Linked DNA regions of Callithrix jacchus. The protein of the gene in region 4 interacts with the protein of the main gene of each other region in a pairwise test. Links are inferred from orthologs where the notes say so. Each region holds a gene or a part of one and is shown on either strand. Other genes may lie near its edges. The genes, in order: RAP1GDS1, SYNJ2, ARHGAP31, RAC1 and RALBP1.

Region 1 (3,514 bases), on a different chromosome or scaffold from region 4:
CCTAGGCATTTTCTCATTTTTCTATCTCACATGCTGTTGAGGTGATGATTTTGACATTTTAAACACATCATTGATAGAACCAGATATAATGAACCCAAAAAAGAAGTGTCTTCACTATCTTCCAATATTTGAAGAGCTGTCACATAGAAGAGACAGTTTTGTCACCAAGGGACTGAAGAAAAGCTAGATGGCTCCCTGAGACTTGGACTAGAAAGATGCTAAACTCTGTTGTCTAGTAACTATTAAAAGATTTTATAAAAAGAATTGTTACTTTTCCCATTATGAATGTAATACTTTCTGAGGTATGTAGTTTCCCTGTTGGATATTCACCCAAGAATATGAATTTGTTACTTCTAGTTACTTTTCTCTTGCCTAACTATTTGTTTCATTTACCTCCAGATGAATCCATGCAGAAGTTATTTGAAGGAGGAAAAGGCAGTGTATTTCAAAGGGTGCTTTCTTGGATTCCATCAAATAACCACCAGCTACAGCTTGCTGGAGCATTGGCAATTGCAAATTTTGCCAGAAATGGTAAGCATATTATTTCCTTCTTTGTTAGTCAAATATTCCATATTCGTTTACTTTTGCTTTGCCATCACATATACTAAACTGGAACAATGTAGAACTTTGTGTAATATGTGTGTATGCTGCTAACTTAATTTTTCAGAAATCTGAAATACTTATAGTGACATTCCTAACAAATTACGTATGTTATGCAATTCAACTAAATTCTAAGGGTTTAAAGGTCATGAAGTACTTCTTTTGAGTACTTTGTACTTCAGAGCTAAGCTTGAATCCCATTCTAGTATACATCTGCTCTCTTGTGCCTAGTGATTTTATTTTGCATCTAATTATCCGAGTATTCATTCTAGAATTATTGTGCCTCAACTTACACTTTTAAGCTCATAAAATTTAAGTATGAGTAATCCTCTGACTTCCTGTAGAATATTTAATTTAGTTTAATAATATTTCGGGGGGTACCAGACTTCTATGTTTATGAAATCTGGCACTCCTAAAAAACTCAAATACAGTCTAGAAACTCATTCTCTGTTACCCAGGAAATATACTATGTCTAGGAAATATTGGTTATTTTTCTTTTTAGTTTAATTGTCTTTCAATACACACTGTTGGTATACATCATAATGGCTGACTTCATTTTTACTCCTTCTTTTTGGGAGTGACTCCCTAATAATGGAGGTTAGAGTGGCATAATATGGATAATTATTGAAACTAGATATGGGATAAATTTATAATAGTTCATTATAATATTCTGTGTGCTTTGCAAATGTTTGAAAAAGAAATTAGGTATCAGCCATGATAACAAAAGGTAGAGTACTATCACTGTAACATTGGCAGAACACAAGCATTCATCAAAATAAATGAAAAATATTGGACATTCTAACCATATGTTTCTACTTCTGACATATTATCTCTAAGGATTTTTCTGGTAATTTTTCTGATTTTTTAAATTTTATCTAGTTTAAGAATTTTTATAATACTTGTCACTCAGAAAACAGAAAAACCTATAAATCTGATGGGAGAAAGATTTGGAATCCATTTTATTGTATAGCTCCATTTTCCCTGATGTAGATAATAGGCCGATGTCAGTAGTGTAAAATATTTATAGAAATTTTAAAGAAGAAAAAAAAAATGTTTTTTTCTTTCTCAGACGGAAATTGTATTCATATGGTAGACAATGGGATTGTAGAAAAACTTATGGATTTACTGGACAGACATGTAGAAGATGGAAATGTAACAGTACAGCATGCAGCACTAAGTGCCCTCAGAAACCTGGCCATTCCAGGTAAGACTTAAGAATAGAAGGCAGCTGTGTAAACAGTAAAATCCATCATTTGGGGAAGCCATTTAGTGTTATGTGATTTGTAAACCCGCTTTGATGAAGAAAATTTAAAGTCTTCACATTGTTCACATTTTTTCATACTAATAAGTGGAGATCATATGTCAAATAAGTTTTGCGAGACAGTACAAGAATAATCATTGCCTTCATTCAGACATCCTATTACCTATTGCGGACTCTTAGATTTTCATCATGTTGTATAGTTAAGCTTTCTTAAGTTTGTTTGTTTTTTTGTTGTTATTTTGAGATGGTGTCTCACTCTGTCACCCACACTAGAATGCAATGATGCAATCTTTGCTCACCGCAGCCTCTACCTTCTGGGCTCAAGTTGTCCTCCCACCTCAGCCTTCTGAGTAGCAGGGACTACAGGAATGTGCCACCATGTCCAGCTAACTTTTTTTTTTTTTTTTGAGACAGAGTCTCGCTCTGTTGCCAGGCTGGAGTGCAGTGGTGTGATAGCTCACTGCAACCTCCGCCTCCTGGGTTCAAGTGATTCTCCTGCCTTAGCGTCCTGAGTAGCTGGGACTACAGGTGCATGCCACCAGGCCCAGCTAATTTTTGTATTTTTAGTAGAGACAGGGTTTCACTGTGTTAGCCAGGCTGGTCTCAATCTCCTGACCTTGTGATCCACCCACCTCGGCCTCCCAAAGTGCTAGGATTGCAGGCATGAGCCACCGTGCCCAGCCTGATTTTTTATTTTTTGTAGAAACCTGATCTCACTATGTTGTCCTGGCTAGTCTTGAACTCCTGGGCTCAAGCAGTCTGCTCACCTTGGCCTCCCAAAGTGCTGGGATTACAGGTGAGAACCACCGCACCAGGCCATAAGCATCTTTAGTGAAGAATGACTTTCAGTTGTTGTTGTTATTTTCCTGTAAGCAGACAGTTTTTAAAAAATAGCCTTAATGTGTCTTTGTAAGTTATGAAATCACATTATTGTGGAAAATAATGCAAAAGATAGTTACAACTATTTCTTTATTCTACTTTCTAAAAGTAAATTTCTGGTTAGATGAAATAGTATAATTATATGATGATCCAATCCAGTTGAATTCAACTTGGTTTATATAGGATAGTAACATTTATTAATGTCTGTAACATTTATATTAATACAGTTGGATCAAAAACAGAATTGTGTTTTTTTGTTCTAAGAGGGTAACATTTTCAGATTTTCTTTACAAAGTAAAGAAGACATTTCTTTGTAAGTAAATGTTTCGAATGGGGTTTAAAAAGCGAGAAAGTATATTTTCTGTTATGCGCTTATACACAAACAGGAGAGGGACACACAAACATTAGATTCCATTCTTAAAATTGACAGAAAAGTAACAGGATTGTTTCTAAATGGAAAAATATAACACGGATCTTAAAGACACACAATAAATGTGTATTGAATTGAATGTTTATCAACAGGAATGCTAATACCATTTTTAACCATAGTCTTTCTTTTTCTCCAGTTATAAATAAAGCAAAGATGTTATCAGCTGGGGTCACAGAGACAGTTTTGAAATTTCTTAAATCTGAAATGCCCCCTGTTCAGTTCAAACTTCTGGGAACATTAAGAATGTTAATAGATGCTCAAGGTAAAAGAAATGTTTTCCCCAACTTGTATTTTTGATATAATAGTCTTAATGTGCCTCTAGTTGAAAAAGGACTCGTTTTTAG
Region 2 (3,514 bases), on a different chromosome or scaffold from region 4:
CCAGGGCTCTTAAGCAGCATCTAGAGGATAAACTGAAATAAACTAAATTGAATTTTAAAAACAGGTTAATGCTGCCAGCACTAAGTCATTCTGCCAGCTTTATAAAAAAGACAAAGTTATAGTGTTTGTCCTAATTTCAGGCATAAAATCTACCTTTTAAATGGCTGGCAAGTGTAAGTAAAGTTCTTAGTGTCAGGCAGGGACCTCTTTCCTACCATCCTGTCTGTTTTCTCTTGCGGTTACTTCACTGAACCCACATTAGTCAGCTTGGCCTCTCCCCACTTCGTTCATAATCACTGGTAATTTACACTTTTACATTTGGCCTTGGCTTTGTTCCAGAATCTCCTTTGGCAAGAAGAGAGTGTGTCCTTTTTTTTTTTTTTTTTGAGACTGAGTTTCACTCTGTCACTTGGGCTAGAGTGCAGTGGCTCAACCCCAGCAACCTCTGCCTCCCAGGTTCAAGCAATTCTCCTGCCTCTGCCTCCTGAGTAGCTGGGACTATAGCCACGTACCACCATGCCCAGCTAATTTTTGTATTTTTAGTAGAAACAGGGTTTCACCATGTTGGCCAAGCTGGTCTCGAGCTCCCAACCTCAGGTGATTCACCCGCCTCAGCCTCCCAAAGTGCTGGGATTACAGGCGTGAGCCACCATGCCCAGCTGACTGTGCCCTTTGAAAAGGTGTGAGCAATCACCATTGCCTAGTTTGCTTTTAGTCAGCATGTTTAACTGCTTTGGAATTCTCAAATAATATTCAAGGGGGCATGCGTTAAAAGGTTGAGAACTACTGTTATAGAATAATACTGCCACAAATGGTTTCTTTTTTTATTTTAGAAAAATAACTAAAACTATGGATTTAACAAAGCAAGTTTCCATCAGCTGATAAATGGATAAACAAAATGTGATCCATCCATACAATGGAATATTGTTAAGCCATTGAAAAAGAACGCAGTGCTGATACGTACTACCTCATAGGTGGACCTTGGAAAGATTTTGCTATGTGAAAGAAAGAAGGAAAACAATAAAGGCCACATAGTATACCATCCCTTTTTATGAAATGGCCACAGCCAGCAAATTCATGGGGTCAGAAAGCGCTTTGTGCTTCCCAGGGTCTGGAAAGAGGGGTGGGTGGGGAGTGACTGCTGATGGTGTGGGGCTTCTTTTTTGTGTGATGAAAATGTTCTGGAGTTAGACGGTAGTGATGGTTGCACAACTTTGTGAATATAATAAAAACAATGAAGGGTACACTTAAAAAGGGTCAGTTTCACCGTATGTGAATTATATCACAATAAAGCTGTTTAAAAAAACAAAAACTAGTGATGTAGACGTTACTAGAGGTTTGAAATCTACCTGCAGTCTCAGCTTAACACGCTCTTGGTCATGGCCCCACTGAGATTTGGATGTATGTGGATCATCTCCCCTGAGAAATGTAAGTACACATGAGACTTTGCATATGGTCTCAGGGTCTCACTGGTCCACATCCAGACTATCCACAGACCCCAGATCACCACCCCTGCTAGGAAGGTGAATGTGAAAAGCTGGGGCTACAGGGCGCAGTGGCTCACGCCTATGATCCCAGCACTTTGGGAGGCTGGGGCAGGAGCATTGCTTGAGTCCAGGAGGTCAAGGCAAAAATTTATTTTATTTCATTTTATTTATTTATAACAAGAGTCTCACTTTGTCATGATGTGGCGCAATTTCAGCTCACTGTAAGCTCTGCCTCCCAGAGGAGGAGATTGAAGTGATTCTCCTGCCTCAGCCTCCCGAGTAGCTGGGACTACAGGCACACACCACCACACCTGGCTACTTTTTGTATTTTTAGTAGAGATGGGGTTTTACCATGTGGGCCGAGCTGGTCTTGAACTCCTAACCTCATGATCTGCCCACCTTAGCCTCCCACAGTGCTGGGATTATAGGCATGAGCTACCGTGCCCTGCCCAAAAAATTTAAAATTAGCTGGGCATGGTAGTTCGCACCGATAGTCCCAGCTACTTGGGAGGCTAAGGTAAGACTGCGTGAGCCCAGGAGTTCCAGCAACATAGTGAGACCTCATCTCTGCTAAAAATTAAAAAAAAAAAAAAATAGCTGGGCATGGTGGCACTCACCTGTAATCCCAGCTACTCAGGAGGCTGAAGCGGGAGAACTACTGGAGCCTGGGAGGTTGAGACTGCAGTGAGTCGTGATTGCACCACTGCACTCCAGCCTGGGTGACACAGCACAATCCCACCTTAAAAAATAAATAGTGAGAAAAGCTGGGACTGAACCTAGCTGGTTAGTCCGGAAATACACTGAATTAGTAAATTACCCTTAGGATGTAGACTGTCTAAAGAGGAAATCATGCAGTGAATTACCTCACCCTTGACACTGCCGCCATGTGGTTTTATGTTTCAGGTGCCTCAGAAGAAGCCTTCAACACCATGGCCCTGAGGGACCAAGCATCCTCTGAACCAGAGCCCATACCAGGGGCAGCCAAACCAGAGACCCCACAGGCACCCCCGCTCCTGCCCCGCCGCCCCCCACCCAGAGTTCCTGCCATCAAGAAGCCAACCTTGAGAAGGACAGGAAAGGTAACAGCCTGGTAACATAAAGCCTCTTACTCCTAAGTCGCTCGGATATCTTGATAGATAAGAATTGTGTCTCACAGACAAAAAATCTAGTTACCTATGGACATCCTCTGTTCATGAGTTCCAGACACAGGCGTGTCTTTGGGGAAGGGTTTGACGACTGCTTCCTCCCTCATGCCCCACTGTGTCTTGGCTCTGGCTGAGAAGAACAAGGGGTCCACTGTCTTCGCAGATTGTCAGTGTGACGAGAACAGCTTGGAGGTATTATGCTTCCTAAGTGTTCTGGATCCCCAGAGGGAAACACAGTGGGATGCTTTTCCCCTCGTGTTCTGGTACCGCGCATTTGCATGTGGTCTGTGTTGTGTGCACGTGGTTTCAAGGCATTAGAAAAACAGTAACCGATTCCCAGATTTGCCAGGTTCCAGGCTCTCGTGTGGCCTCGGTCTATGTGAGGTTCCACAGCTTTTCTTGACACTTTTCTTGCAGATTGTTTTTTGCTCTCGCTCTCAAGCTTCTCAGCCTTGCTTACTGCTTCAAAGACATGAGTTTGTAAGGACAGTAGCAGCCCAAAGACTGGCATCTGTAGACACATCTGGATCTTCCGTTTGATCTCAGTGTTCTAGTGACGGACCCTCGGTAATCCCTCCCTGGTCATCCCAGCGTGGCGCCGCTTCCCCCAAGGGAGTGTGAGCAGTGACTTTGGCTTCACTCTTGGCAGCACTTGCTTTGTAGTTCCTGGGTTGCTCTTCCATCCCACGTTGGCTCATTGCCATCCATCCCTTGTCCATGCCTCCTTACAAAGTGGACCTTTTTCGTCCCCCTTTTTCCCGTTCAGATGTTCCTCGACTTAAAATGGGGTTATGTCCCCAATAAACCCATCATAAGTTGAAAATTACCATGTCAAACCTGCATCTAATACACCTAACCTACCAAACGTCATAGCCTCGCTGA
Region 3 (4,234 bases), on a different chromosome or scaffold from region 4:
GTAGATCTCCCATTTCTTCAAGAGAAGCCAGAAATTCACATCTTATGTGAAATCTCTTATCTTTTTAATGCTGGCTACAAATTTTAAAACATTTTAAAGCCTGGTGTCTGCCAGCCAAGCACATCTATGGGCCAGATCTGGCAGGCTGGCTATCAAGTTCTGACCTCTGACATACAGAAAATGTCAAGGATCAAAGTTCATAAACTGTTAAGGTGATACCTAGAGAGACAGTGACTACAAAGGGATTTAGTACCTAAAATGCTACAGATGCAGCTTTGCCAGCAATCTGAACCCTGAATGCCCCTACCCTTCAAGACTGTATATGGATTTGAATTTATACAGGAAGTTTCATCTAATCCTCAAATGGTTAAATCACAAGAATTTGAGTGCTTACTGTGTGCTGAGTACACAAAAGTCAAGGAATTTAGAATCTAACTGGAGAAAGAAAAACATGCCCTCCTGAAACAACTTGAGACAAATTATGAAACAACCTGGGAGACTGCTTTCTTCACATTTAAGATGTCAGAGGCACCTTAAATCCTGGTTTGTCGCCCACCCTCCCCCCATCACTTCCATTTAGCACCAGAAATCTGACTTCCTGGGCAGCGGTTACAAAGCTGCAGCCTCTCTTTGCCCAGAGGTATCTTTACCCCAGTGTGGGAGGGGAGTGAGCCGGGGTGGGGGGTGCACGGACGCGGCGGAGGAGGAAGGGATGGGAGTGCCCGGCGTGAAGCCACACTGCCTGTCAGGTTTCTCCGCCGCCGTCCCGTCGACCGGCGGGCACCAAAATAGAAAGTGTCAAAGATACGATGACAACGAGGATAAAACCAGGGCAGAGCGTTCCGAAAGTCCCATCCAGCACGGTCCCCGCAGAACGCCAGCGCACCTCCTCCTGCCGCTTCAAAGAGCCGGCTCGGCGGGGCAGGAAGCGGCGTCTGCGGCTGCGGGTCCTGAGAGGAGCGCGCGATTTCCTCCCCGGCTGCCCAGTTATCTCTGGAGCCGCTGAACAGCTCTCGGGAGAACGCGTTCTCTCCCCCACCCCGTGCTCCTCAACCCACCCACCTACTTCCTCCGGCTCCACACACTCACAAGCGCGGAGCTGCCAAAAATTTCCACCCTCCGCCCCCCTCCCTAGCTAACTTCCTTCCAGCGTTTCCTGAGCTGGATGATCCTAGGATTTGTAAGACAGGAAAAAAAGGAAGGCGTGAGGGCGGGCAGGAGGGACAGGATGCTTGTTTTTCGCTCTACCAAAGCCGTCTGAAGGCGAGACCGCGGGCCCAGGGCGCAGGACCCGCCGCAGACCCCGGGCCGTCTCCTCGCCCCGCGCCGCTGCCTCCGCGCCGCGTCCTCTCCAGGGCACTCGAGAAGGCGGGGAGAGAGCGCGCCCTCCCTCCGAGGCGCAGGAGAAACGCCCGAAGACACCGCAGGAGCCTGTGAAAGTCCCTGGGACTCCCAGTGAGGAAGTGACACTCCCAGGCTAGCCGGCCCGCGGCTGCCAGTCTGCACGGCCTCGGCACGGCGGCCCCGGAGCGGCGCGGGGTGGATCTCAGGCTCTGCCGGCCCGCGCCCCGCGGGGTCCATGCGCAGGGCCCCCCGCCCGGCTCCTTCCGTCCTGTCCTCCGATGCGGCCTCCCAGAGCCGCGGGGCAGCCGGTGATCTAGCCCGGGAGCCAGTCTTACAGCGGTGCCAAGCAGAGGGGCGGCGGAGACGGAGGGGCAGCCTCTTTGGGACTAACTCATGAAGAACAAGGGTGCCAAGCAGAAGCTGAAACGAAAGGGAGCCGCCAGCGCGTTTGGCTGTGACCTGACGGAGTATCTGGAAAACTCGGGACAGGATGGTAATGTGCCTTGCTTGGCCTTTCCCCCCTTCTTTTTGTTTGAGGGAGAGATGGACTGTCTTGGGCTGTGTTAGAATCGGTTCACAAGTTAATGTATTCCAGGCCTGTGCGCTCATTGTACTTTTTTTTTTTTAAAGAACGTAAACGATTCTTAAGGTGCACAGGGCTGCTGTCCCGACGCGCAGAGGCAGCTGTGTCAATCCTTCCGTTGTTTCACATAAGCCGTTAATGGGTGGTACTGCCTCAAGTTTACCCGGCCACCTCTGGCGATGGGGGTGGAAGCTGCAGAGATCCAGATCCTAAACTTTGTGTGCTGGAAGGGAGGGAGGAGGGTGGACATGTGGGATGGTGATCAGTGGGCTTCCCTGGGTACAGAATCATGACCGCCTTTGCTGTCCCTCCTGGGCTCTCCAATTTCGTTTGCTCACATCTTTTTTTATTATTGTGTTAGAAGGCAGTTGGGGGTGGCGGGTGGGGGAGGATCCTGGCTGAAGGAGTGGTTGCACAAACATTTCTGAATTTCTGAGCTGATGCCAAATATATAGTACCTCCACCCCCATTCCACAACCCCCCAAGACCTTTTCCCTCCTCTTGGCTTTCAGATTAACATTTGGTGTGTTAGACAAGAAGAGTGTTGTAGAAAGGTCAGAGGGCCTTGATTTTTAAATAGTTTAGGGTAAGTAGAGAAAAGGAAAACTTCGCTGTTTTCAAGGTCAGATTGGGGGAAAAAATGTGGGGAGGGGTGAATCCATTGGAGACAATTTAAACATTTGTTGGGGAAAGAGGAAAGAAAACTATGTAGATTTCAATAACAGCGTTTGAGCTTAGAAGCGTTTAATCATAGGAAAGTTGGAAAATTGAGCATTAAATGACTCCTTTTGCAAGGTTGACTGGTTTTGCACTTACCCATGACAAAAAGGCCTTGTCTTTAGAAGCTTCAGTGAGAGGGAAAGTAGCCTAATATATGGGCCATGTGTTTATACATAGATAGATACAACAAAGGGGAAAACATAAGGGCTGTGTAACTGTGCAGAATTATTCTGCCCCAGGAAAGTAATCTCAAAAACTATTTGATTAGTCCATATCAAATATGCATTTGAAAAACAGTGCAATGCTTTTGTTTCACTTCCGTTTTTTTGGGAGACTCAGCACCACCTAGTAATTTGCAGTGGTGTGATATTCCTGTGGTATTCTAGAGTTCAGTCTGCTGTGTCATTAGGACAAATGGCTTAGTATTTTAGAGCTTGGAGAACTATTTCAAAACTGACTCTTTTGAAATTGATACATAACTGAATGATTCATTGAATCCTCACCAACCAGCTGGAGAGGTAGATTTGAGATAAAAATCACTTGGTTTGAGTTTTTTTGGATGTGAGGGAACTCTAAGTATGCCTCTTACTCACCATTGTCACAAGTTTACAATGAAATGTTTTCCTTCACCTGTTGTTGTAGGGGCCTTCAAGTTAACCTCCAGGCACACTAGGAATGCTCCTGGGATGCTACCTTTCACCATGTGGGTGTTATTCTGGCCCCTCCCTCAAAGCCATGAGAGTTGTATAGGGGCGCTTGCCAGCCCTGTTCATTCTTACAAACTAATAGATCATAGAAAAAGCCAGAACCCCAGGGTTCTGTGAAGATACCTCAAAGGCAGCCTTAGACAGCTGTTCTTTCACCTGCTTTATATTTAGGGCTTCTGGATATGTTTCATTTAAACCAAAAAAAAAAAAAAAGAAAAGAAAAGGACTACTGCTTAAAAGAATGGCAAACCAGTACCCAGTGCTCCCCACCCTGGGGAGGAGGAAAGAAAGTCCAGAGGGGTCAATTGGACTGCCTAAGGTGATACAGCTGATGATGAGGGATCAGAGGGCCCTCCCTGGCCTGTTAGGTTCCTCTGCCCTCACTGGCTTCTATGTCTAAGCCAACATTCTCTTCTAATGATATTTTCCCCCTAAATTGAAAGCAGACAGCCCTGCTACAGGATCAGCAAACTTTCAAGTTTGAGATGAGAGTTCAGCTTTGAAAGGAAAGGCAACTGACCCACTTAATGATCCACACACCGTTATTGTGCTACACGGAAATTACACATGCATAATAAGCTGCTTATGTAAATAAGAGTAATTAGAATTTATTTTTTTCCCACAGCTAAAACTAGTTGAATAGTTTTTTTTTTTTTTTTCCTGTGTTTGCTATAGTGTAGCATCTATGAACAAAGTCAGGGCTAATAATTTTCTCTAAAGTAATGTTGCTTTTTTGTGGACTTTCTGAAACATGTATTGGTTCATAGACAAGGCCTGGACTCTGCTTCTGGGAGGAAAAGCTGAGCTGGGCACTGGCCCATTGCCCACCACCTTGGAAGATCAGCCCAGAATGCTGAGGGTGCCAAGTCAGTGTGGTAAC
Region 4 (4,303 bases):
AGTGATCTGCCCGGGGCTTCCCAAATTGTTGGGATTTCAGGCGTGAGCCACCGGGCCCTGCCAGCAACAGTTTTTGTTTTTTGTTTTTGTTTTTTTTTGGCTGAATGGACATTGTTATTGCCAAATAAAGGTATGGTGTATGATTTTAGACTTCCTTATAGTTTTAGAATCCGAATTTTCTAGAAGGATCTAATGTAATCGCAGATAGTTATCAGATAAAGAATGAAACAGGAGGAATCAATGCCTTCTGATGGCCTCAAGCAGGTGTTAGCAACAGGGAGCTTGGCTCCTGCAACCACAGGTTCCTCTTTTTTTTTTTTTTTTTTAAGATGGAATCTCAATCTGTAGCCCAGGCTGGAGTTCAGTAGCACGATTTCAGCTCACTGCAACCTCCGCCTCCCAGGTTCAAGCCATTCTCTGCCTCAGCCTCCTGAGTAGCTGGGATTACAGGCACCTGCCACCACGCCCGGCTAATTTTTTTTTTGAGACGAAGTTTCGCTCCTGTTTAGCGTGCAATGGGGCGGTCTCAGCTCACCACAACTTCCGCCTCCTGGGTTCAAGCGATACCCATGCCTCAGCCTCCCAAGTAGCTGGGATTACACGCATGTGCCATCACGCCCGGCTAATTTTGTATTTTTAGTAGAGACGGGGTTTCTCCATGTTGGTCAGGCTGGTCTCGAACTCCCTATCTCGGGCCACCAGCCCGCCTCGCCCTCCCATCCGTATTTTCGGGCCTCCCGCCCGCCTAGGCCTCCCATGCCTATCTCGGGCCTCACAAAGTGCTGGGATTACAGGCATGAGCCACCGCGCCCGGCCTAATTTTTGTATTTTTTTTAGTAGGGACGGGTTTTCACCAGCGTTCGTTTCTTCCCGGACGCTGGTCTCGAAATGCTGACCTTGTAATCCACTTCGGCCTTCCAAAGTGTCAGGTTTACAGGCATGAGCAACCGCGCCCAGCTACTACAGGTTTTTCTTTCCTTTTTTTAAGACGGAGTTTCGCTCTTGTTACCCAGGCTGGAGTGCAAATGGCGCGATCTCGGCTCACCGCAACCTCCGCCTCCTGGGTTCAGGCAATTCTGCCCCAGCCTCATGAGTAACTGGGATTACAGGCACACGCCACCATGCCCAGCTAATTTTTTTGTATTTGTAGTAGAGACGGGGTTTCACCTTGTTGACCAGGATGGTCTCGATCTCTTGACCTCGTGATCCACCCGTCTCGGCCTCCCAAAGTGCTGTGATTACAGGCTTGAGCCACCGCGCACTGAACCCCAGAGAAAGGACCCGCAGATCCCGCCACGCCTATGCCGCGTTAGCGCGCAAAGATGGCAGCCGCCGCGCCCCGTGGGCGGAGACAAGCGGGCCCGAGCACTTCCGAGCGTTCCTGAAGCCCAGAGGAACTCCGGGAACCGCGCGGGCGGGAGCTGCCCCACCCGGAACCTGGGAGCGGCGGCGCCGGCGCGGGGGAGGGGAGGCCGGATGTGAGTGGAGCGGCCATTTCCTGTTTCTCTGCAGTTTTCCCCAGCTTTGGGTGGTGGCCGCTGCCGGGCTTCGGCTTCCAGTCCGCGGAGGGCGAGGCGGCGTGGACAGCGGCCCCGGCATCCAGCGCCCTGCCGTCCTCAAGCCGCGCGCCCGTCCGCCGCGCCCCGAGCCCGCCGCTTCCCGTTTCAGCGCCGTGCCGCTGCCGCCGCGGCCCAGCGAGCGGCCCAGATGCAGGCCATCAAGTGTGTGGTGGTGGGAGACGGGTAAGTGCGTTGCCGGGTCTGGGCTGGGGGCCGCGGGGGCGGGCGCGGGCCGGGGTGGGCGCGGGCGGGGGGCGGGCCGGGATTGGGGCCCAGGCAGGCCGGGATCCCTGGCGGGCTCGCGTAGGCGGTGGGCCTGGGCCTGTGGGGCACGGGGCGGGGGCCGCGGGCGCCGGCTGCCCGGGCGGCGCGTGCCTGGTTCCGGCTCTCGCTGGGGGAGGGCTTCGCCACTCGCCGGCCGGTGGAAAAAGTGAACTCCACCCTCCGGCTTTCTTCCCGGACGCCGCCCGCCGCCCGCCGCCCTCCCCGGGAGCCCTCGTAGAGGAAGCGCTCTTGGAGATTTTTACCGTTTTTCCAAAAAGGGACCCTCTCTTGTTTTTTTGCTTGAACCTCTCGATCCCTGGACCTCGAGAGCTGTGTTGGGAACCCGGCGGTTGAGTCGATCATATTTGATGCGTGCCCGATTGAACTGGCCGCTTTAGTGCCCCAAAGTTTTCTTTAAAAATTTTTTTTTTTTTTTTGCAGAGACGGAGTCTCGCTGTGTTGCCCAAGCTGGTCTTGAACTCCTCCTGGGTTCAAGCGATTCTCCCATCCCAGCCTCTCAAAATGCTGGGATTACAGGCGCCTACGCCTGGCTAATTTTTAAAACTTTTTGTAGAAATGGGGTCTCACTGTATTTCCCAGGCTGGTTTCGAATTCCTGGCTGGGATCAGGCGAACCTCCTGCCTGTCAGCCTCCAAAAGCGCTGGGTTGACACCGCGCCCGGCCCCCAAACTGATTTTTGAGCAGGTTTTTTCGACTTACACTTCTGCCACTGTTAGGATTCCTAAAATTAATGCTTTCTCCCTTTCCGAGGATAAAGTTTTTAAGATGCTCCCTGGCAGGAGCCATCTGTGATGGGGACTGTTCTTTTATCTTTCTTTATTTTATTTTATTTTTTTAAACGTGGTGTGGTCATTGAAAAAAAAAAAAAACTTTCTTGCTTAACGCGTTGGGTATGGGATGTAGCAGAACTGGCTCCTGTGACTCCAGGCGTTGCTTTTCATGACTGTCCGTGTTGGTTACAGGCCCTCGAGAAGGACAAGACTTGTTTTATGCCGTTTTTTTCTCCCATAGAAACAAAAATCTCAGTGTAACCCGAGCAAAATCGCGCGTCTCAGGCGTCGCTTGTATAGGTTAGTGTTAGCAAGGAAGAATTACTAACAGTTTCGTCAAACTCAGAATGCAACTGGTACATGTTCGAGTAAAGTCGAAGGAAAGTTAGGGCATCAAGGTTAACTTGGTTGATATTCTTCGAATTTGTCATTAGGTTTTGGTTTTATGCCTCTACGTCAATTCATGGATTCTCAGTGTATTTAGATAATTATACTGTTAAGACATTTGCAATTGTTTCAGTTATCCTTCTTGCAATTCAGATGCAAGAGGATAATTAGACAACTGATTTTTGTGAGAGGCCCATCTGTCGGATTTGTCTTGCAAGTGTGAAGGATTATTAACGCCTCATAATTTTATGTTTATATGATAACTAAAAATTGTAACTTTCAGTTAGAGTACGTATGCTGTTCAAGCTTTTTTTTTTTTTTTGACTCGGAGTCTCACTCCGTTGTCCAGGCTAGAGTGCAGCAGTGTGATCTCTGCTCACTGCACCCTCTGCCTCCCAGGTTAAAGTGGTCCTCCTGCCTCGGCCCCCCTAGCAGCTGGGATTACAGGCACGTGCCACCATGCTTGGCCGGTTTTTGTAATTTTAGTAGAGATGGGGTTTCGCCATATTGGCCAGGCTGGTTTTGACCTCCTGACCTTGTGATCCTCCTGCCTCAGCCTCCCAAAGTGCTGGGATTACAGGCATGAGCCATTGTGCCTGGCTGGGCTTTACTTTTTTATTTGGGAAAAGTGTTCAGTCAATTGATTGATAGTGACATCAGTGAATTGTTTCATTTAAAAAAAAATTTTCGAGACAGGGTCTCTCAGTGTTACACAGGTTGGAGTGCAGTTGTGCCATCTTGGCTCACTGCAACCTCCACTTCACCCGCTCAAGCGATTCTTAGCCTCCCGAGTAGCTGGGATTACAGGTGCCTGCCACCACGACTGGCTAGTTTTTGTATTTTTAGTAGAGATGAGGTTTCACCATGTTGGCCAGGGTGATTTTGAATTCCTGACTCAAGTGATCTGCCTGCCTTATCCTCCCAAAGTGCTGGGATTACAGGAGTGAGCCATGGCACCTGGCCCACCTTTTCTTAAGAACATTTAACATTATTTGGATTTCCTTTAAGCTAAAAACGCTGAATCAAGTTTTTTTTTTTTTGTTTGTTTGTTTGTTTTTTTTTTTGAGATGGGGTCTCAGTCTGTTGCCCAGGCTGGAGTGTGATAGTGTGATCTCGGCTCACTGCCACCTCCATCTCCTGAGTTCAAGCGATTCTCCTGCCTTAGCCTCCTGTGTAGGTGGTGTTACGGGCGCGTGCTACCACCCAGCTAATTTTTTGTATTTTTAGTAGAGATGAGGTTTCACCATGTTGTCCAGGCTGGTCTTGAACTCCTGACCTCAGGTGATCTGTCCACTTTGGCCT
Region 5 (3,514 bases), on a different chromosome or scaffold from region 4:
TTGTCCCAGCTCTGTTCAGATTAAAGGTATACTTAAAAAATCCAAACTTTGAAATAGAAATTAGATGTGGATTGTTTAATGGAGAATAATCTTCAAAGAGTTTGTTTGGGTAGCTAACTCACCTTTTGCAGTTACAGTACAATATTTACACATGTACAGTATTTACACATAAAAAGTCATTTACCCACAACTTTTTGGAACATACTTATGTACACCAAGTTGCATTTTTTGTCAGTCTTGTGACTTGTTGGAAAAAGCAGTTGGCTGCCTGTGTAAAGCAAGACTTACACTTGGATTGTAGTGTGTCTGACTTTTACCTTTTTTTTTTTTTGAGACAAGAGTCTTGCTCTGTTGCCCAGGCTGGAGTACAATGGCATGATCTCGGCTCACTGCAACCTCTGCCTCCCGGGTTCAAATGATTCTCCTGCCTTAGCTAGATTACAGGCGCCTGCCACCATGCCCAGCTAATTTTTGTATTTTTAGTAGAGACGAGGTTTCACCATGTTGGCCAGGCTGGTCTTGAGCTCCTGACCTTGTGATCCGCCTGCCTTGGCCTCCCAAAGTGCTGGGATTACAGGTGTCAGCCACCGCGCCAGGCCACACCTAATCACTTTTACATTAAAAAAAAATTCATGAATTGATGGGCATATTTGCGTAATGTATCCATGGTTGCTTTGACTTTTGTTCTGAATGTTGAGTTTTTCAATTCTTATTTAACTTTTGGTTAAATTCACTTTTGAAGTGTAGTTTTTTGGGTTTCCTTTTTTAGATGGAGTCTCGCTCTGTCACCAGGCTGCAGTACAATGGCATGATCTTGGCTGACTGCAGCCTCTGCCTCCCAGGTTCAAGTGATTCTCCTGCCTCAGCCTCCCAAGTAGCTGGACTATAGGCATGTGCCACCATGCCTGGCTAATTTTTATATTTTCAGTAGAGACAAGGGTTTCACCATGTTGGCTAGGCTCATGTTGGACTCCTGACTTCAAATGATCTGCCTGCCTTGGCCTCCCAAAGTGCTGGGATTACAGGTGTGAGCTACCACACCCAGCCTATTGTTAATTAATTTTTTTATTTTTTGAGACAGTGTCTTACTCTGTCCCCCAGGCTGGAATACAGTGGCACAACTATGGCTCATTGTAGCCTCAACCTCCCAGGCTCAAGTGGTCCTCCCAACTCAGCCTCCCACAGAACTGGGACCACAGGTACATGCCACCATGTCCAGCTAATTTTTGTATTTTTTGTAGAGACAGGTTTTCACCATGTTGCCCAGCTTGTCTTGAGCTCCTGGGCTCAAGTGATTCGCCTGCCTCAGCCTCTCAAAGAGCTGGGGTTTTTGGGTGTGAACCACTGCGCCTGGCCAAGTGTTGTCTTACACGTTGGTGTTTACAGAGGAATTGTATGACCTTTGTGCAGATAAATATTTCATAGGAAGAGGTTTGTTATTGTTCAGGTTGCTGTTCTCAGATCCCTAGCAAGGGTGTGTGAAATGGTGAAGAAAGCTTGTGTGTTTTATTTTATTTTCTCAGTATCTTCTCTCTTCTGAATTTGAATGTTTTAAGGAATTAAATCAAAGGTGGATGAGCTAAAAGCAGCCTATGACCGAGAGGAGTCTACAAACTTGGAAGAATATGAGCCTAACACTGTAGCCAGTTTGCTGAAGCAGTATTTGCGAGACCTTCCAGAGAATTTGCTTACCAAAGAGCTTATGCCCAGATTTGAAGAGGCTTGTGGGAGAACCACGGAGACTGAGAAAGTGCAGGAATTCCAGCGTTTACTCAAAGAACTGCCAGAATGTAACTATCTTCTGATTTCTTGGCTCATTGTGCACATGGACCATGTCATCGCAAAGGAACTGGAAACAAAAATGAACATACAGAACATTTCCATAGTGCTCAGCCCAACTGTGCAGGTACATGGTCTTCTCTACACACATCCCCTCTAGTACTGACACTGGGGAATCGGAGTACATTTTCTATTGCTGAGTCACATGTAAAGCAGTGAACTTGAGAAGATAGGTAATGGATTAGCTTGAATACAGGTCTTTTTCTTTCATAATGTGGACAGTGTCAAGGTATAAGATAATGAACATACTTGCCCTTTAGCTTGTAATGATGTAATGTGAATATGGTATAGTCTTTGATGGGGGTTTATAAATAAGGCCTGATGACAGGGATTGTTTGTTATTGGAGCAGGAGCCCATGGCATCTACAGTTAGAGAGTTCATGTGTAGAATTTTAGAGATGCCAGTTATTTCATCAAATAGCATTATTACTTAATTATATCACAAACACGCATCAAACTCAAGCACAAAAGGACCTAAAATTAATTTGTTTGGTCAAATATTTAGCCTGAGGATTTCATTCATAAGGATGGATCCTAGAGGGACATGTTACAGGCTCTGAATCTGAGAAGGTACTTCAGGAAATTGGGTAATATGTTAATTGGTATCTTTTTACAACATACACGTTGACCTTTCTTTGTTGCTGCTCAATTGGTGCTGTCATAGAGTATATGTTTTCCTTTAATTAGAGTTAATGATGTTTTGCTCAGGCCAATAAAAGGGAGATGATAGGTTATATTTATTATCTTAAGCCCTCTTTTTGGCCAGTATTCTAAGTCACCATAAATGACTGTTGCTGTTATGAGAGTGTGTTTTTATTTACTAAAGAGTCTTTCAGTGAGGCACAGTGGCTCACACCTGTAATGCCAGCACTTTAGAAAGCCATGGCAGGAGGATAGTTAGAGGCCAGGAGTTCAGCTAGGCAACATAGCAAAAAAAAAATAAAAAATTAGCTGGGTGTGGTAGCATGTACATGTAGTCTCAGTTACTTTGGAGGCTGAGGTAGAAGGCTTGCTTGAGCCCATTAGTGAGCTATGATCATGCCACTGTACTCCAGTCTGGGTGACAGAGCAAGAATCTATCTCTAAAAAATAAAGATTCTTTTGTTATTCATTGATTACACTTTGAAAGCAAAAGTTTCTCAGATTTTAGTTTGGTCATATTAGGATTTCAGGATCTGGTAAATATTACATTGATACTTAATATTACTGTAATATAGATGATCGTATCATAGGAGAGCCAAGTGTGTTGTAAGAGTTAAGTTTTAGGTAGGAAATAATTTCTTATATTAGCTTTTCAGTCATCCTAATGCTCTGATCTTCTAGCATATGAACATCCATACGTAAATTGAGCTTTCAACCTCAATCCAGCTTTACTACTGTAGTTCTCTGGCTTCCCTCACAGTCCTCATTCAGCCCATTGTATCTGTAAAAGATCTCAAAGTAAGTTGAAAATAAAGAACATAAGATGTTTTAGCCGGGCACCGTGGCTCACGCCTATAATTGCAGCACTTTGGGAGGTTGAGGTGGGTGGATGATTTGAGGTCAGGAGTTTGAGACCACCCTGGCCAACATGGTGAAACCCTGTTTTTACTAAAAATACAAGAAAATCAGCTGGGCATAGTGGCACACACCTGTAATCCCAGCTTACCAGTAAGGGAGGCTCAGGCAGGAAAAT

Evidence for each region.
Region 1: the proteins of RAC1 (region 4) and RAP1GDS1 interact in binary tests that used the Homo sapiens proteins (3 or more experiments, as listed by UniProt). The link is inferred for Callithrix jacchus from reciprocal best matches to the Homo sapiens genes RAC1 and RAP1GDS1.
Region 2: the proteins of RAC1 (region 4) and SYNJ2 interact in a two-hybrid assay, tested with the Homo sapiens proteins (2 studies listed by BioGRID and IntAct). The link is inferred for Callithrix jacchus from reciprocal best matches to the Homo sapiens genes RAC1 and SYNJ2.
Region 3: the proteins of RAC1 (region 4) and ARHGAP31 interact in a two-hybrid assay, tested with the Homo sapiens proteins (2 studies listed by BioGRID and IntAct, with this or other methods). The link is inferred for Callithrix jacchus from reciprocal best matches to the Homo sapiens genes RAC1 and ARHGAP31.
Region 5: the proteins of RAC1 (region 4) and RALBP1 interact in a two-hybrid assay, tested with the Homo sapiens proteins (2 studies listed by BioGRID, with this or other methods). The link is inferred for Callithrix jacchus from reciprocal best matches to the Homo sapiens genes RAC1 and RALBP1.

What each region holds. Positions count from the first base shown.
Region 1 is NC_133504.1:99,093,648-99,097,161, reverse strand, and holds part of RAP1GDS1 (rap1 GTPase-GDP dissociation stimulator 1), read left to right. Parts: intron 1-399; coding exon 400-531; intron 532-1,669; coding exon 1,670-1,804; intron 1,805-3,306; coding exon 3,307-3,432; intron 3,433-3,514. UniProt on the Homo sapiens protein: Acts as a GEF (guanine nucleotide exchange factor) for the Rho family of small GTP-binding proteins (G proteins) that stimulates the dissociation of GDP to enable subsequent binding of GTP.
Region 2 is NC_133505.1:164,910,190-164,913,703, forward strand, and holds part of SYNJ2 (synaptojanin-2), read left to right. Parts: intron 1-833; coding exon of another isoform or gene 834-841; exon of another isoform or gene 842-1,312; intron 1,313-2,390; coding exon 2,391-2,566; intron 2,567-3,049; coding exon of another isoform or gene 3,050-3,172; exon of another isoform or gene 3,173-3,249; intron 3,250-3,514. UniProt on the Homo sapiens protein: Inositol 5-phosphatase which may be involved in distinct membrane trafficking and signal transduction pathways. May mediate the inhibitory effect of Rac1 on endocytosis.
Region 3 is NC_133516.1:83,509,684-83,513,917, reverse strand, and holds the start of ARHGAP31 (rho GTPase-activating protein 31), read left to right. Parts: upstream 1-1,433; 5' UTR 1,434-1,737; coding exon 1,738-1,837; intron 1,838-4,234. UniProt on the Homo sapiens protein: Functions as a GTPase-activating protein (GAP) for RAC1 and CDC42. Required for cell spreading, polarized lamellipodia formation and cell migration.
Region 4 is NC_133503.1:16,113,094-16,117,396, forward strand, and holds the start of RAC1 (ras-related C3 botulinum toxin substrate 1), read left to right. Parts: upstream 1-1,500; 5' UTR 1,501-1,707; coding exon 1,708-1,742; intron 1,743-4,303. UniProt on the Homo sapiens protein: Plasma membrane-associated small GTPase which cycles between active GTP-bound and inactive GDP-bound states.
Region 5 is NC_133514.1:53,424,155-53,427,668, reverse strand, and holds part of RALBP1 (ralA-binding protein 1), read left to right. Parts: intron 1-1,556; coding exon 1,557-1,906; intron 1,907-3,514. UniProt on the Homo sapiens protein: Multifunctional protein that functions as a downstream effector of RALA and RALB. As a GTPase-activating protein/GAP can inactivate CDC42 and RAC1 by stimulating their GTPase activity.